Ovis aries: one gene and its partners. The protein of the gene in region 4 interacts with the protein of the main gene of each other region in a pairwise test. Links are inferred from orthologs where the notes say so. Each region holds a gene or a part of one and is shown on either strand. Other genes may lie near its edges.

The links.
Region 1: the proteins of HMG20A (region 4) and DTNB interact in binary tests that used the Homo sapiens proteins (3 or more experiments, as listed by UniProt). The two-hybrid records come from large-scale screens. The link is inferred for Ovis aries from reciprocal best matches to the Homo sapiens genes HMG20A and DTNB.
Region 2: the proteins of HMG20A (region 4) and SCNM1 interact in binary tests that used the Homo sapiens proteins (3 or more experiments, as listed by UniProt). The two-hybrid records come from large-scale screens. The link is inferred for Ovis aries from reciprocal best matches to the Homo sapiens genes HMG20A and SCNM1.
Region 3: the proteins of HMG20A (region 4) and RPP30 interact in binary tests that used the Homo sapiens proteins (3 or more experiments, as listed by UniProt). The two-hybrid records come from large-scale screens. The link is inferred for Ovis aries from reciprocal best matches to the Homo sapiens genes HMG20A and RPP30.
Region 5: the proteins of HMG20A (region 4) and HPCAL1 interact in binary tests that used the Homo sapiens proteins (3 or more experiments, as listed by UniProt). The two-hybrid records come from large-scale screens. The link is inferred for Ovis aries from reciprocal best matches to the Homo sapiens genes HMG20A and HPCAL1.
Region 6: the proteins of HMG20A (region 4) and CCDC136 interact in binary tests that used the Homo sapiens proteins (3 or more experiments, as listed by UniProt). The two-hybrid records come from large-scale screens. The link is inferred for Ovis aries from reciprocal best matches to the Homo sapiens genes HMG20A and CCDC136.

The regions. Positions count from the first base shown.
Region 1 is NC_056056.1:32,941,721-32,945,220, reverse strand, and holds part of DTNB (dystrobrevin beta), read left to right. Parts: intron 1-117; coding exon 118-223; intron 224-3,345; coding exon 3,346-3,500.
Region 2 is NC_056054.1:101,063,773-101,067,909, forward strand, and holds SCNM1 (sodium channel modifier 1), read left to right. Parts: upstream 1-1,337; 5' UTR 1,338-1,457; coding exon 1,458-1,559; intron 1,560-1,733; exon of another isoform or gene 1,734-1,770; coding exon 1,771-1,841; intron 1,842-2,080; coding exon 2,081-2,169; intron 2,170-2,267; coding exon 2,268-2,365; intron 2,366-2,479; coding exon 2,480-2,568; intron 2,569-2,969; coding exon 2,970-3,164; intron 3,165-3,797; coding exon 3,798-3,897; 3' UTR 3,898-3,952; downstream 3,953-4,137. Other genes in the region: LYSMD1 (lysM and putative peptidoglycan-binding domain-containing protein 1), read right to left, coding at 377-556. UniProt on the Homo sapiens protein: As a component of the minor spliceosome, involved in the splicing of U12-type introns in pre-mRNAs. Plays a role in the regulation of primary cilia length and Hedgehog signaling.
Region 3 is NC_056075.1:12,323,017-12,326,516, forward strand, and holds part of RPP30 (ribonuclease P protein subunit p30), read left to right. Parts: intron 1-483; coding exon 484-558; intron 559-3,365; coding exon 3,366-3,437; intron 3,438-3,500. UniProt on the Homo sapiens protein: Component of ribonuclease P, a ribonucleoprotein complex that generates mature tRNA molecules by cleaving their 5'-ends. Also a component of the MRP ribonuclease complex, which cleaves pre-rRNA sequences.
Region 4 is NC_056071.1:30,345,916-30,349,854, forward strand, and holds the start of HMG20A (high mobility group protein 20A), read left to right. Parts: upstream 1-1,139; 5' UTR 1,140-1,253; intron 1,254-3,939. UniProt on the Homo sapiens protein: Plays a role in neuronal differentiation as chromatin-associated protein. Acts as inhibitor of HMG20B. Overcomes the repressive effects of the neuronal silencer REST and induces the activation of neuronal-specific genes.
Region 5 is NC_056056.1:19,580,104-19,584,117, forward strand, and holds the start of HPCAL1 (hippocalcin-like protein 1), read left to right. Parts: upstream 1-1,214; coding exon 1,215-1,592; intron 1,593-4,014. UniProt on the Homo sapiens protein: May be involved in the calcium-dependent regulation of rhodopsin phosphorylation.
Region 6 is NC_056057.1:94,459,525-94,463,557, forward strand, and holds the start of CCDC136 (coiled-coil domain-containing protein 136), read left to right. Parts: upstream 1-1,233; 5' UTR 1,234-1,322; coding exon 1,323-1,380; intron 1,381-2,171; coding exon 2,172-2,279; intron 2,280-3,841; coding exon 3,842-4,033. UniProt on the Homo sapiens protein: May play a role in acrosome formation in spermatogenesis and in fertilization.

The DNA of each region.
Region 1 (3,500 bases), on a different chromosome or scaffold from region 4:
ATTTTGCTATAAAATTTCCCATGTAATTCATTACACCTTGGTTGTGAGAATCCTAAGTTAGCTTAACATTAGAGTTCAGAGGTAACTTGAAAAATGTTTTTTTTTTTCTCTTCACAGAAAAAGATAATGCTAAATATGTTTTTAGACACAATGATGGCCGATCCTCCTCCCCAGTGCCTTGTCTGGCTACCTCTCATGCATAGGCTTGCCCACGTGGAGAATGGTAAGCAGAACTTTCATCATTCAGTCCCCTGTGCTACAGGAAGTATGTGAACTGGTAATATTTGTAATGTTCTTAGCTATTGTCACTGAAAACTGTAATTGACATTTGTTGGCACTCCATCATTTGAATTTGTAGTTTCGGCTTTCAAAGAAGAATATTTATTTCTCAAAAAAAAAAAAAAGAGGAAAGAGGACTTATTACTTAGGATACCAATGTAGTAATATCAGGTCAGAAAACTTTGTGTTTCAAACTCTAGGCTTTTCCCCCTAAATTCCAGATGATTGTTTTCTGCTTGATCCCACCCAACTTAGCCATGACTTCCTTTTTTCCCCCTGTAGTGTATAAAAAGCTTAGCTCCAAAAAATTGAATGTATTAAATATCCACCATTAAAATTATAATTGTTTTGGAATAGTTTAAAGGAAAGTAGCTAAGATAGAATTTGGTACTTGGTTTCACCAGTACGGTTTTTTCCTTTACTACTGCATTTCTCTCAGTATTCTCCCTAAGTGCATGCATGCCAAGTCGCTTTAGTGGTGTCCAGTTCTTGTGACCCCATGGACTGTGTAGCCTGCCAGGCTCCACTGTCCATGGAATTCTCCAGGCAAGAATACTGGAATGGGTTTCTTCCTGACCCAGGGATCAAACCTGTGTCTCTGGCATCTCCTGCTTTGGGAGGCGGGTTCTTTACTGCTAATGCTAGCTGGGAATCTTTGTTTCACTTGGAACTGAAATGGTATTTACCTCTGAGTAACTTCTTAGGTTTTTCTAGTATTGTTATCAGCTTATCTCCTTGTTTAGGTTGTTTCAGTTCATTAAAGGAAAGGCCCTGGTTTTCCCTGGACCTTCCCTTCGCTCATGGCTCTTGCCTGTCTCTCCTTATTCCACAGAAGAGAAAGAGTGAAAGGTGACAGGCACTAAAAATTAGAGTCCTCGTCTTCATTTTATAAGAATGAGAGAACACAACCATACTCTTATATCTTCTGGCTCCTTTTCATATCTTTTTTTTTTTTTTAATTTCTCAGCCTTTTGCCCAATTATGACTTTAGTTCACAAGTCCTTAGATGCAAGATTATTTTCCAAAAGTTCTGAAATTTCTTGAGTAGACTAAAACAGTTAAATTTTAAACAATATTTTTGGAAAGAGATTTGTGCTATTAAATTATAACAATATTGCTTCCTTGGGGGAGCAATACTTTTATAGTCCTAAATGTTTTAGTAGTTTCATATCCAGCTCATTTTCATAAAATCATTTTAGGCCTACTCTGCCAAGTAGAGGGAATCTCATTTGTTGAGATGTATTATCATTATCCATGTGAACATTTTGTTGTGACTTTCTACGTAGTCACATTGATTACATTATTGATTACATTCTTATGTGATTAACACTTTGATTACTCTTTAGAAATATCTTGGTGACAAAAATTTAAATTTCTTAGAGGAAGTTTAAACTTTCAATTTCTCATTCCAGATTTTACTCTTTCTGTTATTCTTTAGTGATCTTGTTGCATTATTTTTTTCACCAAGTGCTCAGGTTTTGTCCTTGTTTGTTTTGAGTCTTGATTCTCTAGTTAACCTACATTGTTAGAAGCAGGACTAGAAGTCCTTATAATTGAAATAAGATTGCCTTTGTATCCGTAGGGCCATAAAGAGCTATTCAAATGATGATTTGGCTATTACACCCCTCTTTCCTTTGACTTAGACTTCTTGTGTTCAGAACTGAATTGGCAAAGGGAACAATGTTGCTTTCAACATTTAAAAGTATAAATAACAATCTGTGATACACAGTTGTGCATTTATTGCCCACTTTCCACTCAATGAACTGGACTTTCAGGCCCCAGTAACCATTATAAATCCTAACTGCCAGCTGGTGGTTTTCCACCAGGTAAGATGCTGTGTGAGGTGGAGAAAAGAGTGGCAGGTCACTGAGTTTCCCTTCCTCCAAATCACTGCCCCTTCCTTGGTTAGATTAGAGTAATTTATTTTATGTTAGTACTTAGAGCTCTTACCTAAAACTAGTACTTTTTTAAAAAATTAAGAAAAAATTTTTTTTTAATTGAAGGACGATTGCTTTACAGAATTGTGTTGGTTTCGGCCAAACCTCAACATGAATCAGCCATAGGTGTACATATGTCCCCTCCCTGAAGAGCCTCCCTCCCAGCTACCTCCCCATCCCCACCCCTCTAGGTTGTTACAGAGCCCCGGTTTGAGTTCTCTGAGTCATACAGCAAATTCCCATTGGCTATCTATTAAAACTAGTATTTTGATGTGGCTTGCCTTACTTTTTTTTTTTTCACCAGTTCCCATTTGCTCCCCAGTATGTAATAGTATTTAATTCAGCAAACATTTCAAGACCATCAGTCCAAGGGACTGTGTGAAATACCACTTTGCAGGTAATAGAGACATATAGCATGTCGTCCTGACCCTCACAGATTTTATGTTAGTGAAGGAGACGTGTCCACAGCCAACAATATACATCTCTTTAAAAGAGATAGGATTGGAAGAGAAATTTGGAGTGAAGGTGTCTCTCCTCCTTACTTATACATGTATGCAAACTTTGAGACATGAATGATGTTTTAAAGAAGGAAATTGGTTTCTAAGGTGAATTGTAATTGATTCTCAATGGGACCTTTTGGTATTGTCTTTTTATTTCAGTAAATGGCTGGTTCAGTTCAGTTCAGTAACTCAGCCCTGTCCAACTCTTTGCCACCCCATGAACCGCAGCACACCAGGCCTCCCTGTCCATCATCAACTCCCGGAGTTTACCCAAACTCATGTCCATTGAGTCAGTGATGCCATCCAGCCATATCATCCTCTGTTGTCCCCTTCTCCTCCTGCCTTCAATCTTCCCCAGCATCAGGGTCTTTTCCAATGAGTCAGCTCTCCGCATCAGGTGGCCAAAATATTAGAGTTTCAGCTTCAACATCAGTCCTTCCAGGGAACACCCAGGACTGATTTAGGATGGACTGGCTGGTTAGATGAACTAAATAGAAGACAGTTGCAGTTCTTCAGTGCTAGTCGTGTCTCCACCTTGGCTTTTATTTTGGTCTTCCACTGCACTGGCCTTCTTCTCCAAATGACAGTGACTTCTCTCTCTCTCTGGCCCTCTCCTCCCCGCCCTCAAGTCTTCCACCCTGTGGAGTGCTCCTATTGCCGCTGCGAGAGCATGATGGGTTTCCGGTACCGGTGCCAGCAGTGCCACAACTACCAGCTCTGCCAAAACTGCTTTTGGCGAGGCCATGCCAGTGGCCCTCACAGCAACCAGCACCAGATGAAGGAG
Region 2 (4,137 bases), on a different chromosome or scaffold from region 4:
CTGGTTAACCAATCTAAGTCTCAGTTTCTTCATCTGTAAAAAGGGCACAATAATTATATGCTTGATAGGGATGTGAGGATCAAATGAGCTAATGGATGTAAAGTCTTTAGTACAGTGACTGGCCTAAAAAATAAATGCTGCTCCCCTCCGTTGGGATAATGGGACAGGATTTGTTCCCACCAGACAGTGCAACACTGAGATGAGGAAACAAAAAGATAAAGGTGACCAAACCTTTATCACAGTCAATTTATCACAATTAGTTAATATAAACACAATTAAGAAAATTTCAGGGGAAGTTGCCTAGAGGGCCATACATTCTCATGAGGAATAAACCTCTTCTAATTGGGTGTCTACGTCCCAATCCTGGAAGACTCACCGTCACCCCGTATTTGAGTGCTAGTCCAGCCAGGGTGTCTCCGGGCGCCAACTGATGCTCCAGGCGTCTTTCCCTCACCGGGGAGCAGGCAGACTGCACCAGGCTTCCATAAGAACGAGCCCGGCTCCCTTGAAGCAGTCCTGACCCCCCGAGGGGGGCCTGTCTAGAGGGAGAAGCCATCTCCTCACCCTGCGGACACTGAGGTTACAACCCCGGGAGGCCCGGCCAAGTGACCGATAATGACGGGCTCGCGGTCCGAGAATGGGTATCTTAGAGGATTCCTCTCTTTCAGTCTTCTCTCTTAAGTCTCCCCGCCTCCCCCGGCGATACGCGACTTGTCAGCCGTAGCTTCTCCTCCCTGCAAGTCCCCTTCCCACAAATCTGTACTCCGACTATTCAGTCCCTACCTGAGTCTTTCCTTAGCACCCCTCCGACTTTCGACTCCCCACAACAACTCGCTACGTTGACCCCTGACCTTTGAACTCTAGCAGCCTCCTTAACACGCAGCTCAATTTGCCCCTACGTCTGGCAGCCCGACCTCCAGGCTCCCCAATACCCCGACTCCGCCCGGTCCCGGGGTTAGCCCTCTAGGGTCAGGAACAGATCAGGCCCACCCTATATGGGCTGTGGTTGCAGGCGAAGGGCGTGACAATAGCCAGAGTCTGTAGCACTCTTTCTCCGTCAGAGATCCTCAAAGGTATTCTCCAAACCAAATCAGTCACACCCTCAAATTCGGGCTCCTCATCTAGGTTCTTGTCATTCCAAACGCCTCGAATCTGCCAAGACGAAAGGGCCTGGATCCAGCCCGGCGGCAAGCTCTTTGAAAAAAGACTTCATTTCCCAAAAGGCCCCGCGCCGGTGAGGTCGCAGGGCACCATAAGAAATACAGTCCCCCTCGGCCGGCTAGAAGCTGGCTTCCGGGATCGCGCAGTGCATTCGTGGAAGCACACCCCCGGAAGTCAGGGGGCCAGCAGGAAAGAGACCGGAAGGAACGGAGACGACCCACTCCTGCTACGGTGGCCTGAAAGGCGTGGCGAAGGCGGCTGGATAGAGTTTTTGATTTCTGGGGCTCACAGTCTTGATGTCTTTCAAGAGGGAAGGAGACGATTGGAGTCAGCTCAATGTGCTCAAAGTATGCGGAGAGGAGTGCTTCCGAAGCAGCTTCACCTGCCCTCTGAAAGCTGTAAAGGAGCTGTTTTGTTGCTGTGGCAACAACTGGGGGGCGGAGTGGAGGGAACCAAAAGACTAGAGGTGGTGGTGACCCCTTTTTCACCGCAGATGTGTGTTCTCCCATGGTCTTTATTCCCTTTCAGTCCTCGTCTCTATCATTTCCCTTTTATCCTTCCCTCATATCCAGCTGATCCCGTGCGGACTTCTTCCCCTGTCTCCTGCAGAAACGAAGGGTCGGGGACCTGCTTGCCAGCTACATCCCAGAGGATGAGGCGCTGATGCTACGGGATGGACGGTGAGAGCGAGGAGTGGATCAAGTTTAAGGGTTTTGAAGTTAGAGACTCAAGAACTTTTGTTATTAAGGAGGAGAGCGGGAGTATCTAGGATTCTTTGGCTGGGAGTGAGTAACAGGGATGTGGGTGATGGAGACTGGGAGACTTGGGAGTTGGGCTTTGGAAATGAATGCTTGGACGGGGTGGGACCTATGACCAAGACTCCACTCCCCAGGGACCAATTATCTTTCTTACTCCCCAGCTTTGCTTGTGCCATCTGTCCCCACCGACCCGTCCTGGACACTCTGGCCATGCTGACTGCCCACCGTGCAGGCAAAAAACATCTGTCCAGTAAGTTTGGGAAAAGACAGACAATAGAGTAAACCCTTAAAATCTCTTCAGACCACCCTTGGTGCTCTGCTTTTAATCCTCTTCCCCTTTCTCCTCAGGCCTGCAGCTTTTCTATGGCAAGAAGCCAGCAGGAAAGGGCACAGAGCAGAATCCAAGACAGCATAATGAACTCAGGAGAGAAGAGACCACAGCAGAGGTAATCAGAGAGGGGAAGTTGTGTTCCAGGCAGGACTGTGCTGCACACCTTAGGCTAAAGGACTTTGGCTTATTTCTGGCTCTGAAGGCTCTGACTCTGCTGTCTCCATGCCAGGCTCCTCTCTTAACCCAGACTCGACTTATCACTCAGAGTGCTCTGCACAGAGCTCCTCACTATAACAGTTGCTGCCGCCGGAAGTACAGGTTAGTGGGATGGGAAAGCCAGAGGTAGGGAGGGACAAGAGATAGATAGCTCTAAAGTGATTATTTTCCTAATTGTAATCTGAGACATACTAAGTGTTCTGGGGGTGTTAACTTGTATTTCAGGAAAAAGATTTTTGTAACTAAAAAAGTGCTTTGTAATCCTATTTGATTAAAAATTAGTGTATTTTAAGGGTTCTACAAAATCATAAGATAAAAAAAAAACCTTAAAAGATTTAGACTTTCCTAAATTTACTGGATTCCAGAATTCTTTTTATGCAGAACACTTACTAATATCTTGAGGAACACAAAATTGGGAAGCACTCCTATAAGGAGTTGGGAGTCACAGGAGATTAGGCCCTTTCCTTTACTGCTTTTACAGACTTCGATTCTTCTCTGTCCAGACCGGAAGCCCCTCGTCCCTCTGTCTCTCGTCCCCCTTTGCCACCCGCAGAGGCTGAACCCCAAGGTGGGAAGATCAGTAGAGAACCTGAGCCTGAGGCTGGCTCACAGACCAAGGAGTCAGCCACTGTCTCATCCCCCGCACCTATGAGCCCCACAAGAAGACGGGCCCTGGATCATTACCTCACCCTTCGAAGGTGAGTATGCAGAATTTTTCCTCAGTTTTTCCCTTTTATCTCTGACCCTCCTTGTTTCAGAGCTTCTCAAGTGTTTTTACTTATCCCCCGGGGCTTCCCAGGTGGCACAGTGGTAAAGAAGACATCTGCCAATGCAGGAGATGCAGGTTCGATTTCTGGATCAGGAAGATCCCCTGGAGGAGGGCATGGCAACCCACTCCAGTATTCTTACCTGGAGAATCCTGGCGGGCTACATTCCATAGGGTCACAGAGTCAGTTCCTCTTGAAGCAACTTAGCACACGTGCATGCATGCACAAAGACTCCTTACATATGTAACTTTTTTTTCAAATAGTTCAGGAAATTAACTACAGTTAGATAGAAAGAACTATTGGGGCTTCCCAGGAGGCTCAGCAGTAAAGAATCCTATAGTGCACAAGAGGCAGGTTCGACCCGAGTTGGGAAGATTCCCAACTGGAGAAGGAAATGGCAACCCATTCCAGTATTCTTGCCTGGGAAATCCCATGGACAGAGGAGCCTGGCAGGCTACAGTCCATGGGGTCACAGAGTTGGACATGACAGAGCACTCGCACACATGCTTTTCTTAATTTAATAAACTTCCTTTCCTGACCAGTTCTATTTTCTGGTGTTTCCAGCTCTGGATGGATCCCAGATGGACGAGGTCGATGGGTAAAAGATGAAAATGTTGAGTTTGACTCTGATGAGGAGGAACCCCCTGATCTCCCCTTGGACTGACATCCTCGTTCCCCATTCATTTCACAAATAAACTACAGCCGGCGCTGGGAGCCCAGCTTCTCCTGAGTCTGGTTCCTTGTTTCAGGATTTCAGATCTGTTCATTCTCAGCCCAGCCAATTCTTCTCTGCAAGGTACACAGCTCCCCACACTTCTGACCCCTCCCCCACCTTCTCCCACAGTCATGCCAAGCGTCAGCTGCATGCAGCCTGGTGCCCTATTAATAAGTCTGTCAGAAGGAG
Region 3 (3,500 bases), on a different chromosome or scaffold from region 4:
AGAGCTGATCAAGTTCAATGTCTTACATGTGTGTGATTTTTTACTCTAAATTACAATAGTATCATCAGAGATCAGGGAATTCCCTGGCAGGCTAGTGATTAGGACTTAGGCAAAATCAGTAATCACAGATCCCCATAACAAATATGATAGTAATGAAAAAATGTGAAATGTTGGGAGAATAACGAAAATGTGACACAGAGATGTGAGTGAGCAAATGCTGTTGGAAAATGACGCATTATAATAGACTCGCTCAATACAAGGTTGCCACCAATCTTTAGTTTGTAAAAAAAAAAAAAAAGGCAATATCAGTGAAGCACAACAAAGCAAAACAATAAAGTATGCCTCTATTATAAATTCCTTGAGAGTTAAGGCTAGGGCTTTACTGATCTTCACTATCCCTTATTGTTAGTACTTTTTAATGAGTACTTTCCACTGCTAAGGAGGAAAATCAGTCATCTGTATTTTGTGCTTTTTTCATTACAGGGAAAATCAAAACCAATTAAAATTTTAACTAGACTAACAATTATCGTTTCGGATCCGTCTCACTGTAATGTTTTGGTAAGTTACTTTTCTTCTCTCTTGGTCTTGTAAGTTGTATTGATTAATGTTGAACTCTTGCTTTTCAACTCACCTCATTCTTAGATCTTCCCCAACCCCCAGTGTATGACACTTGACTGCTCTCCTTAGCTCAGAATTCACATGGTATAATAGTCTCTTCTATTCATGACACATGTATAAGGATTAAAGATTTAAAGAGTCTTCCAGCAACTGGTATTCATTGAACTTACATGACCCAGACATAGAGTACTGGTGATGTTGCTATGAATAATACAGATATAGTCCTTTGGAAAATGAGAAGAACATTTAAAAAGTGGGAGATAGTAAATAAGGAATGTTCTAGGAGTGTGTAACAGGAGGCCAAGCTGAGGAAGCTGATGTTCAAACTGTGGCCATATGAATCAGTGAATGTTGTTGGTGCCAGATAGGGAGAGGATAGTCCCACAGACAGGATAAATTATGCAAGGTCCTGAATCCCAAAAAAACATGGTGCATGGTGGGAAATGAAATGCCAGTTGAGTTGAGCCTGATGACCTGTCTAACCTAGGATGATGTTAGAAAGGTAGGTCTGGGTGAGCAATTAGAAGAAGCCTATGAAGGTTTTAACTAAGGGAGTACAGTTTTGAGATTTGCATTATAGAGAATGGATCAAAGGGGATAAAGGCAGGGGAGGGGAGGATTGACAGGATTTGATGTTGATTGGATCGAAGGTGGTAACTCCCTGCTTTGGCCTGAGCAGCCAGATAGGTAGATGGTCCCATTTCCTGGGATGAAACATACAAAGAGAAATAGGTGTCAGATCATCATGTGTGAGACACAGTAGGTTATTGTAAGAGTTCCAGTGAGAAGACAGCCACAATCGTGTCCAGCTCTTTGTGACCCCATGGACTGTAGCCCACCAGGCTCCTCTGTCCATGGAATTCTCCACGCAAGAATACTGAAGTGGGTTGCTATTTCCTTCTCCAGGGGATCTTTCCAACCCAGGGATCAAACCCAGGTCTCCTGCACTGCAGGCAGACTGTTTACCAACTGAGCCACCAGGGAAGCCGCAGGAGTTCAAGTGGAGCTTGTCAGATGAGTAGTTGGGAAAAAGGACATGGCCCTCGGAAGAGGGACCCCAGTTCAAGATACTCATTTGGAAGTGGTCGCCTTGTAGAGAGTATTGTACTCATGAGAATGGATGAGACTCCCCGGTCAAAGTATAATGTGGGAGGAGAAGGTCTGGGACAGCATCCTAAGGAATAGCTGTATTCGGTGGTGGAGGAGAGGGTGAGCCAGGATGGGAGACTGAGACGGGCCGTCTGAGGAGTAGGTGGACAATGAGGAGCATGAGAAGGGTGAGCAGCATCAGTGTGCCTGAGTACTCAGCCAAGCAGGAGAAGGGCTAAAACATGTCTTGGCCAGGCAGGTTCCCTAATGACATGGTGGTCATTGGTTGCCTTACAAAAAGCCATTTCCATGGAAGTGATTGGGCTATGAGAAAATATAGCCAGTGTCTGCTGCTAACTTTGCTTAAGAAACTTCACTCCATGGAGGAATAGAAGGCTTGGGAGGCTGGTGAGAACCTGCTGTCTAGATTCTGTTTCTTAAGTGGAGACTTGCAAGTAGCCGGTACTGATGTGAAGAGTCAGTGAGGGAGAAAGTGAGATCTCTGAGAACCTGAGCTGTTTCATCATTAGCTGGGATGGCCTCCTCTCTCACAGAAAAGGAGTGATCAAGGAAGGGCTGGCCTCCTTTCTAACAATTAGCATTGCTAAAGAAATTATGAAAAACCAAATTTGGGAGTTTTTTATACCTGCAGGCTGCATTCTGGTTCTCTAAGCCTGGGGAGACATAGAGTTGACTTTTTATGGCCACAGACTTTGATTTTTCTCTTATTACCATGGACATCCTGGTGGCCCCTTTCAGTCCCTGTCCCAAGTGGGAGTGTCAGACAGAGGAAGAGAGTACTGGATCCTGACTTTTTCTGAGACCTGGAACCTGCCCTGTCTTGGCATGCATCTGCCCAGTGGGTTCACTTAGCTGCTCAAGCACAGTACCTGCTGCATCTCTTCAACCGTTCTGTTTCCTCCTTTAATGTTTATCATGCTTTTTCTTTTTACAGAATAAGAGGTAAAAAATTTTAAAGGTGCCAAAGGGAAAGAAAAAACAGCACATATTATCTCATCATTCAGTGACTGTATACTTGAACATGTATTTTTTCAGCCTTTTCACATGCATACGCATACAGTATCAGTTTGAGACTTTCTTTTATAAACTTTAACTGATAAATCTCTCTCCTTCTGTCAGAGGACTCTTGGTTATTTTCTTACACATCTAGCAGTTTAATTTGTATTTAACCGTATTCTCATTGTGAACCTAATCACATCATAGTCAGTCATGTGTGTTTCTCATCTCACCAAAAAATGATAAGCTCCACTGAAAGCAGATATATGCCTTAAATGATTTTGTATCCCTCGTGCCCTACACATAGCAGGTGCTCAGTAAGTTTCTGGCAAGCTCCTCCGCTAGCTTATAAGAGCAGGAGCTGTCTAATTTGATTTTTGTGTCTCAAACAAAATGTTTGATATACAGGTAAAGCATGACAATGTGGGAAGGAAGGAGAGATGATTGGGGAGATGGATGTTGATAACTAGAGTCTTACATGCTGAGAAGGTCTTTTCTGTCAACATACAAAGCAAAACAAAAATGTCAGTGGCATAAGTATTACAAGTTGAAATAGAAGTGCAGCCAGGACGCTAGTCAGAATCCCATATGCATTGTTGTTGTGTTGTTACTGTACGGTAACATTCTTTTCATCTTACTAGAGAGCAACTTCTTCAAGAGTCCGGCTATATGACATTGTTGCAGTTTTTCCAAAGACAGAAAAACTTTTTCATGTAAGTAACAGTAAAAGAAAATAGTACTCATTATTTTACGTAAGAAGTCTGATGTTGTACCTT
Region 4 (3,939 bases):
GCAGCCACCGAGGGAGGGGGCGGGAGCGGGGGCGACAGGGGGCGCGAGGCGCCGGCGGGCCCCGGGGACGGCGGGGCGCGGGGGTGGCCGTGGCCGGAGAGCCCGCGCCGGGCCAGAGGCACAAGCCGCCTAAGCCCCCGCGGCGGCGCCACCCAGACCCTGCGCCGCCCCGCCCGGATTCCCCCAGGTCATCCCCCTTACCCGTCGGCGACTCTAGTCCCACAAGCCGGCGCGAGAGGACAGAAGGGATCGAAGGGGACGCGGACAACCCTGCCCCCGTTACCTGAGGGGCTCACACGCCGCCGCGGTGACCACCTTCGCCGACCGTCCCGTACCCTTCCTGGTGACCGCCAGCGCCGCCGCCGAGCAACTGACACTGACTAACAACAACTAACTAACTACTCGCCGCCGCCGAGTCCACCGCGCGCTCCCGGCCGCCCGCCGCCCGCCCGGCCCACCAGCCAGCCCGCCTCCTCCTAGCCTCGCGCGCCGCCTCTCCGCGCGCGCACTCGCCGCCGCGCTCCTGGAGCGAACACGCGCGCGCGCGCGCACGGGCCCTCTCCTCAGCCCCGCGGGAGGAGTCACCATGAGGCCCCACCTCTCGCGTTCCTACCTCCCGGGAGAGACCTAGAGCACGTCTGATTGGCCGAGGGGGCGTGGCCAAAGGAAGAGGGCGGGACAACCAGGACCTTCGGCCGGCGTGAAGGGAAATTTCAGTTCAATTACGCTTAAGCGGAAAAGGCGAACGAGGTACTGCCTCATTTGGTGCCTCAGCCCCCTAGGTCAGCCTACCGTCGAATACAGAATATGTATCTTCAAGGACTCCAGCACACAGTAATCACCAATTTAAGCCCAATATTTCTGCAGGCCTTAATTTTAAAAAACTACATCTCCCAGAAACCTAGGCGAAAATAAGTCTCACCTTACGTAATCACGTAGTCAGTCCTTCGCCGCCTTTGAACAAAATAATCCCTTCATTTTTCTGAAGGTATGGGGAAAAATGTTTCATTTTTCTCCTCACTGGAAAAATTTTAAATGCAGCGATTAAAGAAGTTACCTATGGAAGGCAGTTAAGAAATTAAGTAAAGGGAAAGAAAAGGCATCAATATAAAGTACTGCGGAGGAATTTTTGTCAAGCTGTGAGACGACGGAGTGAGAAGAGTGAAGGCGGTTGAGAGGGGCTCAGGGAATTGTCCTGTGTGCCAGGGACTTTCTTTAGGCCTCGGGCCCCTGTCTACCCCTATCATCAGCAGGTCAGTAAGCGAGGCGAGCTTGGGGGTGGCCACAGTGGAGGTACCCTTCACCCCTTGAAGATCACCCCTCTTTTGCTGTTACTGGTTGGCCTCAGTTTGAGGCCGACTGAATGGGGGCGCCTCACTTCCTGTTGGGGGAGGGGAGGAAGGCCATCCTGGGGGAGGGGGGAACATAACTCACTTCCTGTGGGGGTAGGGTGAGAGGTTGGGGTGTCCAACCCATTTCCCGTGCCGGCGAGAGCTTGAAAAGGTGGTGCTTGGTGCCATATGCATAGGCGGTATCCTAAAGCTTTGGGATTGTGTCTTAAGTGAAAAAATTAGGTTATTCCACGAAGTTGTGCTGATCACCAGCCTCCAGTCAGAATTTATGTGAATTTTGATTCCATGGGTAAGGTGAAAATTTTCTCCGCAGTAGAATTTTCTTAATGCATTTGTCATAGAATTCGAAACCTCTTGTTAAAATTTTCTACCCATCTGTGCAAGATGACATACTTTCTGGTGTGACTCATGAATTGCCCACCCTGCTCCTCGACTCAAGTCCAACCTTGACTTAGAGTGGTATAGCGGTATTCTTCGCCTTGACGTGCCACAGGAACTCTATAGCAATTCTTAAAGAGCTTGTTTATTACAGGACTCGATATTTTACATAAACTATGAAATTTTCACCTTACGAAAGTGAAAATATACCCAGTTAACAGATGTTACCTTAACTGATGTGATTGGTGTCCTAAATCCGTAGACCTGTTGCTTTTAGGGTACAGGTTCTGCCCTGTGCCTGAAAACAACTTCCTCAGGTTTAAAAATCGATTTAATTAAATTACAAAGGGGGGGAATGTACTACAGTGCGACTTACACAGATGTTACATGTAAGTTACATATAAGAATGTTTAAAGCTGAGGAAGTTGTTTTCAGGCAGAGGACAGAACCTGTAAGAGACCTGGGTCCCATCCCTGAGTCAGGAAGATCCCCTGGAGTAGGAAATGGCAAACCACTCCAGTATTCTTGCCTGGGAAATCCCATGAACAAAGAAGCCTGGGCAGGCCAGAGTCCATGGGGTCGCATAGAGTCCAGCACACCTGAGCGATTCAGCAGGCACATGCATGCACACATACCCAAGCACCGATTTTAAAATGGTGTCTACACTTTGTGGTTTTAAGGCATGGTGCAGGGATCCTGAAATTCAGCTCAGATTTTAAGTAGGGGGAAATTTGGGCTCATAAAGGACAAAAAATATGTACCGGAACATTCTGTTTTTCTATATTCTCAGTGTTTTGTAAGAAACTACTTGTAATAAACACTTAACAGTTTGATTTCTTGGCTTGTTTTCAAGTACCACAATACTTAGTAGGTGGTGAGGGTACTGAAAGGATCAATCTATTTGGTGATTATAAAATTTCAACAGCTTTAGTAGTTTTAGAATATCTATCAAGTGAACTGTAATGTCTTTCAAGAATATTTAAAAGAATAAGGCTTTTGTATTTTTTTCCTTTAGGGTTCTCACCTAATCTACCCTCAGAATTTGCAATTGTTTTAATTCTAGTTCTTTTCAGAAGCTAGTTTGTTTAGAGTTTATTAGAAAATCTGATTTACACTAAATGTTTAAACATCTGTAAAACTTAAATGTCACAATAAGGAAAAAGATATGTTTTGATCTTTTATAGACATAAAGACAAAAAAGCTAAGACCCAAAAATCAGTGAGTTACCTTTTCAAGGACTACAGAATTTCTGCAAAAGTTGAAAAGACAGGACACATTTATGTCTGTGTTACTGTTAATAAAAGGAACATATAGACTGCCTCAAGCAAGTATTAATTGATTAGAAAAACCTGTTCATTATCTTCTGTTAGTGTACTATAGAAGAAAATACTATATGAGGCTCCTGACAAACTATTAAACTACAGCATTAAGAACTATTGAAGTGAGTAAAGCTTGTGGAATTAGATGAAATAGAGAAAAAGTAAGTTAAAATATTGATTGAAATACAGTAGTAGTGCCTTTAGGAAGCTATCTTTGAAAAGCAAAGGAGTTTTTAAAATTGGTCTTTATACCATTCCATGGAAGAAATGCAGTATAATAGAAATAAGAAAAATTGTTGCAGCTGAGAGACTTGAGCAACTTGAAGAATTGTCTGTTCAGAAGAAAGCAATTTATAAAGCACATATCTGAAAGAAGATGTTTTGTGATAAGTGGCAGTTATTCATTGGTTCCATCGAAGAAGAAATATTAGAAAACCTTGTGGAAAATAGAGGGAAGTTCATGGAACCTGCTTTTATTCTCTTTAAAAGTGTTTTTGTAGAGTAGATTGCTGTCTTCCAAAGGCTTTTTTTTTCTTCTTACAGCTCTTTGATGCAGTTTTCTTTTCATGTTCTAATAGAGACATATTATCAAAATTAGAAAAATAAAGAATTTTGTAAGTGTACTCTGTTGCTTCTTTAAGTAAATGAATTTCATTCCATTACTTGTCATCAAGAAAAAAGAGATTGTCCATTTTTTCATAATATTTAGATTAGATAACCATTTTCTTTTTCAAAAAGCAGTCATTAGATATACTGCTCATAGCAGTCTGAAATAAAACAGTAGGTCAAAATTCTGGATTCTGTCTCACTGAAGTTCGATTATCCAGGAAGTGCTAGATGCTATCTCTAATGCAAAAGGATCTTTTCATTCTTTTGTCTACCTTTCTGTG
Region 5 (4,014 bases), on a different chromosome or scaffold from region 4:
GGGCGGTGCTCAGGCTTCTCTTGTTGCGGGCTCTAGAGCACACAGACTGCAGTAGCTCGGGTAGGTGGGCTCAGTAGTCACAGCTCCTGGCTTTAGAGCACAGGCTCAGTAGTTGTGGCACAGAGCTCTGTGGCATGAGGGATCTTCTCTGACCAGGGATCAAACTTGTGTCTCCTGCATTGGCAGGGGGATTCTTCACTGCTGAGACACCAGGGAAGCCAGAAAACCCTTTGTTTTCATTTTCTGTCCTGTATGCTTCAAAAGGGCTTCCTTGGTGGCTCAGTGATTAAAGAGTCCACCAGCAATGCACGAAACCCAGGAGATGTGGATCCGATCCTGGAGCTGCAAAACTCTGGAGGAGGACATGGCACCCCACTCCCGTATTCTTGCCTGGAGAATCCCATGACAGAGGAGCCTGGCGGGCTACAGTCCATGGGGTCACAAAGAGTCGGACATGACTGAAGCGATGTAGCGTGCATGCAGGGTCAGTCTTCTGTGCAGGCATTAGGGGAAAACTCCATGGAGAGCACACGTTTGCATGCCTTCAGTTGCCTGGGACTTTACTATGCACACTGGATACATCCTCTTGGTGCTAATTCCAGATCCACACAGTGCTCCCAACCACAGGGTTTCTCAGAGGCCAAACAAGAAGGGATTCCTTTAAAGTTTCTGGATGCCTGTTCTAAGGATAAAATCAGAATGCAGTGCCTGAAAGAGGAAAGAAATGCTCAGAACACAGGGCGTGTGCTGCAGTCAGGGTGACAGTTTGGCTGGGAGTTGATGAGGGTGATGAGTAGAAGGTTTTCAGCCTCCAGTCTTGTACAAACCCTGCTGGGCACTCGATGAGGGCCTCATTCCTGTTCATTTTATGTGGCCGTTTTCTCCACGTTTCCGATTCTGGAGGTCAGGATAGACCTTGCAGTGCGAGGCGGCCGGTCCTGACTCCACTGGAGCACCCAACCTTCCTCGTGGTACACAGACTAAGGGTCCCCCTCCCCTCCGGGGTCCCCCTCCCTGCGGGGGTCCTACACACACTGGGGACAGCTCATCACCGTGATGGCTGGAGTCAGGCCTCTCGGGCCACTGGTGGGGGACACTCGGGGGACAGTCCTCCAACCTGCTGGGTGGCCGTGGGAGGTGGGGAGCCCTCCCCTGCACCCTGTCCACCCCATCTCCAGCCCAGCCTCTGTCTTGCAGGTGTCCCCGCGGCCGCCATGGGCAAGCAAAACAGCAAGCTGCGACCGGAAGTGCTGCAGGACCTGCGGGAGAACACGGAGTTCACGGACCATGAGCTGCAGGAGTGGTACAAGGGCTTCCTCAAGGACTGCCCCACCGGCCACCTGACCGTGGACGAGTTCAAGAAGATCTATGCCAACTTCTTCCCCTACGGCGACGCTTCCAAGTTCGCTGAGCACGTCTTCCGCACCTTTGACACCAATGGCGACGGCACCATCGACTTCAGGGAGTTCATCATCGCACTGAGCGTGACCTCGCGGGGCAAGCTGGAGCAGAAGCTCAAGTGGGCCTTCAGCATGTATGACCTCGACGGCAACGGCTACATCAGCCGCAGCGAGATGTTGGAGATCGTGCAGGTGCGCCCGGGGGGCGGGGCTGGCACCGGGGGCGGGGCCTCAGCAGACCGCGTTCACTCGGGGACCCCATGCGCGACTCCTCGGCCCGCCTCTGGACCTTCGGGGCCACGTGGCTGCCTGCCCCTCTATCCTGCCCTTCAGAAAATGACTGACTGTCACCTGACCAGCGGGCCCTTAGATGGTGATGAGACAAGCCACTGTTGGGCCTCCCAGATGGTGGCAGCGGCGGTTTAGTCGCTAAGTCCTGTCTGACCCTTGCGACGCCATGGACTGTGTAGCCTGCAGGCTCCTCTGTCCATAGCATTCTCGAGGCAAGAATACTGGAGTGGGTTGTCATTTCTTTCTCCAGGGGGGATCTTCCCAACCCAGGAATTGAACCCGGGTCTCCCGTATTACAGGCAGATTCTTTACCGCCTGAGCTATGGTGGAGCTAGTGGTAAAGAACGCACCTGCCAATGCAGGAGAAGGACCATTGTTTACCTATCATTGGTGGTACAAAGCCCTGGCCTACACGCCCCTGATGAGCTGTGGTCTTCCCAGTTCTAAGGGGAGGGGGTGTCATTCTCAGCCTTTCACAAACTCTGAGACTAGGTATGGTTGGGGTGGTGGTGGTGCGGGGGTATGATTTCCTGAGAGTTACCAGTTATTGTTCAGTTGCTGAGTTATGTCCAACTCTTTGAAACCCTGTGGATGGCAGTATGCCAGGCTTCCCTGTCCTTCACTACCTCTCAAGAGTTTGCTCTAACTCATGCCCATTGAGTCAGTGATGCCATCCAACCATCTCGTCCTCTGTCATCCCCTTCACTTCCTGCCCTCAATCTTTCCCAGCATCAGGGTCTTTTCCAATGAGTCAAAGGTGGCGGAGTAACGGAGCTGGGAATTAAAAAGAGAGGACCCTTGACACTTGCGAAAGGCACTGCCATATTCCCCTATTTAAGAATGCAATAGACAGCTTGTCATGTCCTCAGGAACACACAGTTGTAAAGCCAGACTGAGACATTGGTGGTGACGGAATAGGCTCTGGCCCAGGAAGCGCCACTTCAGAAAGCTCTTCTCTCCTGTCAATGACTCTGGCAAGGGAAGCTGTTTTCTGGCAAGAAACCAAGTTTTGTTCACTTCCCCAGGTTCCCAGGTGCCTCTGCTCCCTGGGTCCCCACCCCCTGCTCCCCCACTCCTGGAGCCTGGGAACTCAGTTCTAGAATTCCTCAGAGGAGGTGTTCTCTAGTCCACACAGTAGAAACTTCTGGACTAAACTACACACAGAGGGTATCAAACTCAGGAGCTCCTTGATCAGCAGCAAGTAGCCTGACCCGTTTCCCAAACAGGTGATTTGCACGCATGAGAATAAACCAGCACAGGTTCAAGGGAAACTGTCCTTCAGCCATTGATCCTGGCTCTTAGCGACAAGCAGTAGTGGAAAGAAGAGATCTGCTTCTGGGGAATCACCTGTCCCGACCTACCTCCTGGCCCTCACCCTCCTCTGTCACTGGCCAAGCAGACTGGCTGGGCCAAAGCTTACAGACACGGCAGAGCTGTGAGAGCCGAAAGGGGTGCCTTCCTGTCCAGATGGGATCTGGCTGCTAGGCCCCCAGACCGAGTTCCTAAACCCTAAGCACCTTCCCCCTTTGTCGGCAGATGCTAAGCAGGATGCCTGGCTGCTACACCTTCATCAAAACAGACTGGGCTCCAAGTTCATCACAGCCCAGCAGAGACAGGGAGGGTCTTGGCTCTGCATTCTCCGCACTCGGACGAGTGCCTGGCTCTGTCCCAGGAGGGAGGCCTGTCCCAGGAGGGAGGCCTGTCCCAGGAGGGGGGCCTGTCCCAGGAAGCGGGCCTGTCCCAGGAGGCAGGGCTGTCCCAGGAGGCCCTGAAAGACACACTTGCTGTGCGGTGAGGCCTTATCACCCCTGCCTGCAGGTGGAGAGGGGCCAAGGAGTACAGAGTATAATAGATACAAGAAGCCTCACCTGGGGTCATTCTTTCTGGTTTGGTTTTGTAAACCTGCTTTTTAAGACATTACAGCTTCCAGGTTTCTGCTGTTCTTGGTCTGTTTGTGGAATGAGAGTATCAGTCAGTCAAGCCATTTCCACATAGAATCCCAAGTAGCACAGCCCCCTCACTCTCACATGTTACTCTGATGAGCTGCTGGTCACCGGCTTCATCATGGCCCCCTGGACACACACACACACACACACACACACACACACTGATGCACATATACACACGCACACACCACTACGCCTGGACTCTTGGACAGAGACGGCCTGCATGGTGCCGAGCCCTCGGATGGCAGCATCCTGAAGAGAAGGTTCTCGGTCCTGCTGGAGAGACCCATGGGCCCCGGGCCTGTCCTTTCTGGGGCTGGTGGTGTGGTTTCCCCTGGGAGTTGCAGAGGCTAGCTTTTCTTGCTTCTCACCGAGGT
Region 6 (4,033 bases), on a different chromosome or scaffold from region 4:
ACTGAAGTGACTTAGCAGCCGCAGCAACAGCAGAGATATACAGAAGACCATGTTAACTCCCAGTCTTCAAGAAAATGGGCAGACAGAAAATTGAAAATCTGACCTTGACAACCCTGAGTGACTGGCAATGCCCTAGAGAGAAAGGAGGAGAGGGTGTGTATAATGGGGTGGGAGGGGGCATCAGGAAGGGCTGCCTAGGGATGACTCCCTGCTGAGTGTTGAAGGGTAAGTAGGGGATGTCCAGGTGAAGAAAGGTTCTCCCCTGAAGAATATGGAGGGCTCGTGAACCTGGGAGCCTGTGGCGGTGACAAAGACAATATATGCCAAAGACCTTGTGAGTGGATGGGTGAGAGAAAGGATTGGTGTGTGTCCCTGGCTTAGGAATCTCCCAGTGCTTTTCTGGATGTCCTGGGACGCCCCAGTTCTCAAGTGTACCCATATTTTTCCTAGCTAAGACCTTCAGAGATGTGAGAACAATTGTTTCTTCAAGACCTGGCCCCTGGTAGACGTTCCTTGAATGAATGATGAAGTTAAGTGAAATAAGCCCGCGTAAGTTTCACATCTCCCATTTTTAACTGTAAATCAGCAGTGCCCACCCTGAACAGGCTATGCGTGCATGATGAGTGGGGGTCATTCTCGCAGCCCACCGGGAGTAGGGCTCGTGGGAAGGCAAGCGGTGGAGAAAGGCGGCCTTCGGACACTAAGGACAGTGTAGGGCCACGGAGCCGCCCCTCCTAAGAGGGTCCCTGCTTCTGGCTTGGTGAGGGGCGCACGCACGGACAACAGAGGGATCAGGGCCCCGAGTTCACGTATCCTGGCCTCAGTTTCCCCGCTCCTGCCCTCACGCAGTTCTGGGGCGGGTGGCCGGGGTCCGCGCCGACTGCAGAGCTGGGGGGCGCGCCCTGCGCCATAGGGAGCCAGGGGAGTGGAAAAGCATCCGCGTGTTTGCAGGAAACAAGCCGGGAGGATCCGTCCATCCTTTTGGTTTTCCTGCCTCATCACCGAGCTAGACGGGATCCTGGCACACGGAGCAGAGGGGGTCTCCTCGCGCAGCCGACTCCTGGCTGCTCGCACTCTCCGCGCGGGTCTCCTCCCATCTCCCGCTCGCTCGGCCTCGGGGAACTCGGGAGCTGCGGCGGCCGACCGGCTTCCGGGCGGGCGGCGGCGGGGGCGGTGTCAGGTGGCCCGGCCAGGCCCCGCCCCCTCGGCCGGCCCGCCCTCCCTCCCCTGCGCACCCGGCTCCGGTACCCGGCCTCGCGGCGGCGGCGGCGGCGGCGGCGGCGGCGGCGGCGGCAGCGGCAGCGGCGGTGGCGAGAGCGGCCATGGAGGCGGGCGCCGGGGCCGGCGCGGGCGCCTCGGGCTGGAGCTGCCCGGGCCCAGGTCAGAGCGCCCCTCCTTCACCTCTCCACTGCCTCTCCTTCCTCTTCTCCATCTCTCCTCCCCCCAGACCCCCACGGCCTCTCCCCCCTCCGCTACTCCCCACCTTGACGGCCGAAGTCTTCCTCCTCCCTCCCTCCCGCCCCCCACCCGGGCCCGGTCTCCATCTTTCCCGGCTGGGTCTTCCCCACACCGGCCGCATCCTCCTTGGCATTCCCTGCCCTGAGCCTTCTCAATCTCGACTCTCCAGCCTCATACTGCTTCCAGCCCTAGGGGCTCTATAGATCCTGCACCCGCTCGCACCCCTAAAGCTTCTGAGCGCGGGGCGCGGGTGGGGTGGACGAAGTCTAGGGAGAGATGGAGGGGAGGGGAGGGGGTCCGGTCCACACGACCCCCGCCAGCCATCGCCGGCCCCCTCCCCACCTTCCCCTTAGGCGCACTACCTCACCCTTTCAGCCTCTTTACTTGCTCCCACCCTCTGCCATCCTTGTCCATCTTCCCCCTCTGTCCCCTCTGGGCTAAAGAGACACACACCCTTTCTACCTGTGCGAGGGAGAGGAGCCTGGAACAGAGGTTGCAGAGGAGGATGGGCAGGGCAGGGCGGGGTCCCCAGAGGCCCAGCCTAAGGGGCAGCTTGGGGAGAGGAGTCGCAGTGCCTGGCAGAGTGAGCCAAGTACTTCCACCGGGATAAAAACCCCCAGGGCTCCGAAGGGCTAGAAGGTGTGTCCCTTCCCCTCCCTGCCTCACCCCAGCCACCCTGGCACCCCACAATCCCTCTCTCTCCTTGCTCACAGGACCCACAGTGACCACTTTAGGCTCCTATGAGGTGTCGGAGGGTTGTGAGAGGAAGAAGGGCCAACGCTGGGGGTCTTTGGAACGGCGGGGGATGCAAGCTATGGAGGGTGAGTTTTCCTGTAAAGCTTTCTTTCCTTCTCCCTCACCCAATTTTCCTTCCTCCCTCTGACCCTCCAGAACTCTGAGCCAGGACACACACCTTCCCCCTAGTTCAGCTCAGCACCCGCTAGCCCTCCTCAGGGCTCAGGTTTTGAGGGAAGTTCAAGGTACATCCTTTTGGGGTTCTAATCACCAGCTAACCAGGTTGTGTGTCCCGAGGGAGCTGCCAGACAGAGAAAGAGGCCTCTTTGGACAGAGCTTTGAAGCAGCCTTTCAGCAGGGGGTTTGTTCTCTCTGCCTCCCGACCCAGATCCCAAGCTGTCTCTTATTTTGAAAAGCAGGGAAGTGAGCACGTGAACTGTCTTTCTGGTGCTGCCACCACTGACTTCAAATGGAAGCCTGGTGGCTTTGGTTCTCTAGGCTATCTTACTGCCTGAAAGAGGGAGCCTGGGAAGGGGGCTGCTGAAAAGGCCAACCTCCCAACACATGTGTATTCCCACAACACCCATGCGACTTGGCAGTTGTTGCCAACACCAGGAGGATGCTAGAAGGGTGCCAGTCCTGTTGCCAGGACTTCCCGTGAAGGGTCCCCAGGTCCCTGTGCACATCTAGTGTGGTCAATCTTGCCCCTTCCCCCCCCACCTCCACTGACCCCGGGGAGACAGATGATGCCAGGGGTCCCAGATGAATCTTAGGCTGTGGTTACTGGACAAAACCAGGCCAGAGACTCAGAATTTTAAAACAATTGCCATCCAGATAAGGTTTTGCTATTTAGAGAAACTGCATTGCAGTAAAGGAGGGGGTGCTTGCCAGCCAGAGACTGGGGACCAACACACCCCAGTTTCTTAACTCATTAAAATGGCAGGCTTTCTTTTACACACAAGTACAACCTATGACTTTCCCCTAAAAACTGCCTTGTGGTCAGCAGGGGAGGAAGTGAGACCCCCAGACACTCAGCAGGGAAAAGAAAAGTGGACTTGGTAGAAAATTTCAAAAAGTCTATTCAATGGAATATGTTTGGAAGGGCCCCAGTGTTTGTCCAGTAAATCCTTTAGATCATTTCATTCAGATGTTCTCTTTCTCTGCCTACTGACAGGCAACACTTTCATATAATGGAAAGGCTAGTTTCTCACAAGCCACCTGGATCGTTTGTAAACTTTGTACAAACCCCCAAACTGTAATTCTTGCCCTGTTTGGCTTAAAGACACACCCAGTGTCTGAATCCTTTCTTGACTACTTGTGCCCAGAGACAAGGATAGAAGAAGCAAGGTATCCTTGTGCAAGCCAGTCCCTGGCTGTTCAGTCCACCTGAAGGCAGTCCTTGGAGGCCCCAGAGGCAATATTGGTCCAGGAAGTGCCTGGGAGGGGGATGGATACCTCCAAACTTGACTCTCACACCTCAGGGCCCCTCAGGCATGCAGGTGCTGCCCAGAGGCTCCTTGGGGGACACCAGGTGGCACTATTATACCATCTCTGTCCTCTAAGGACAGTGAGGTGGAGGGCCCTCTAAGGACTGTGTAAGAAAGTTGGCTCTTACTCGCTGGCGGGATGTTGCGGGGGTCTCTCCTAGGGGAAGTGTTACTCCCAGCTCTCTACGAGGAGGAAGAGGAGGAGGAGGAGGAAGAAGAGATGGAAGAAGAGGATGATCCAGGGCAGAAAGGCGGCAACGCAGGCTCCCTGTCGGTTAGCAAGCACCGAGGCCTGAGCCTCACGGAGACGGAGCTGGAGGAGCTGAGGGCTCAGGTGCTGCGGCTGGTGGCAG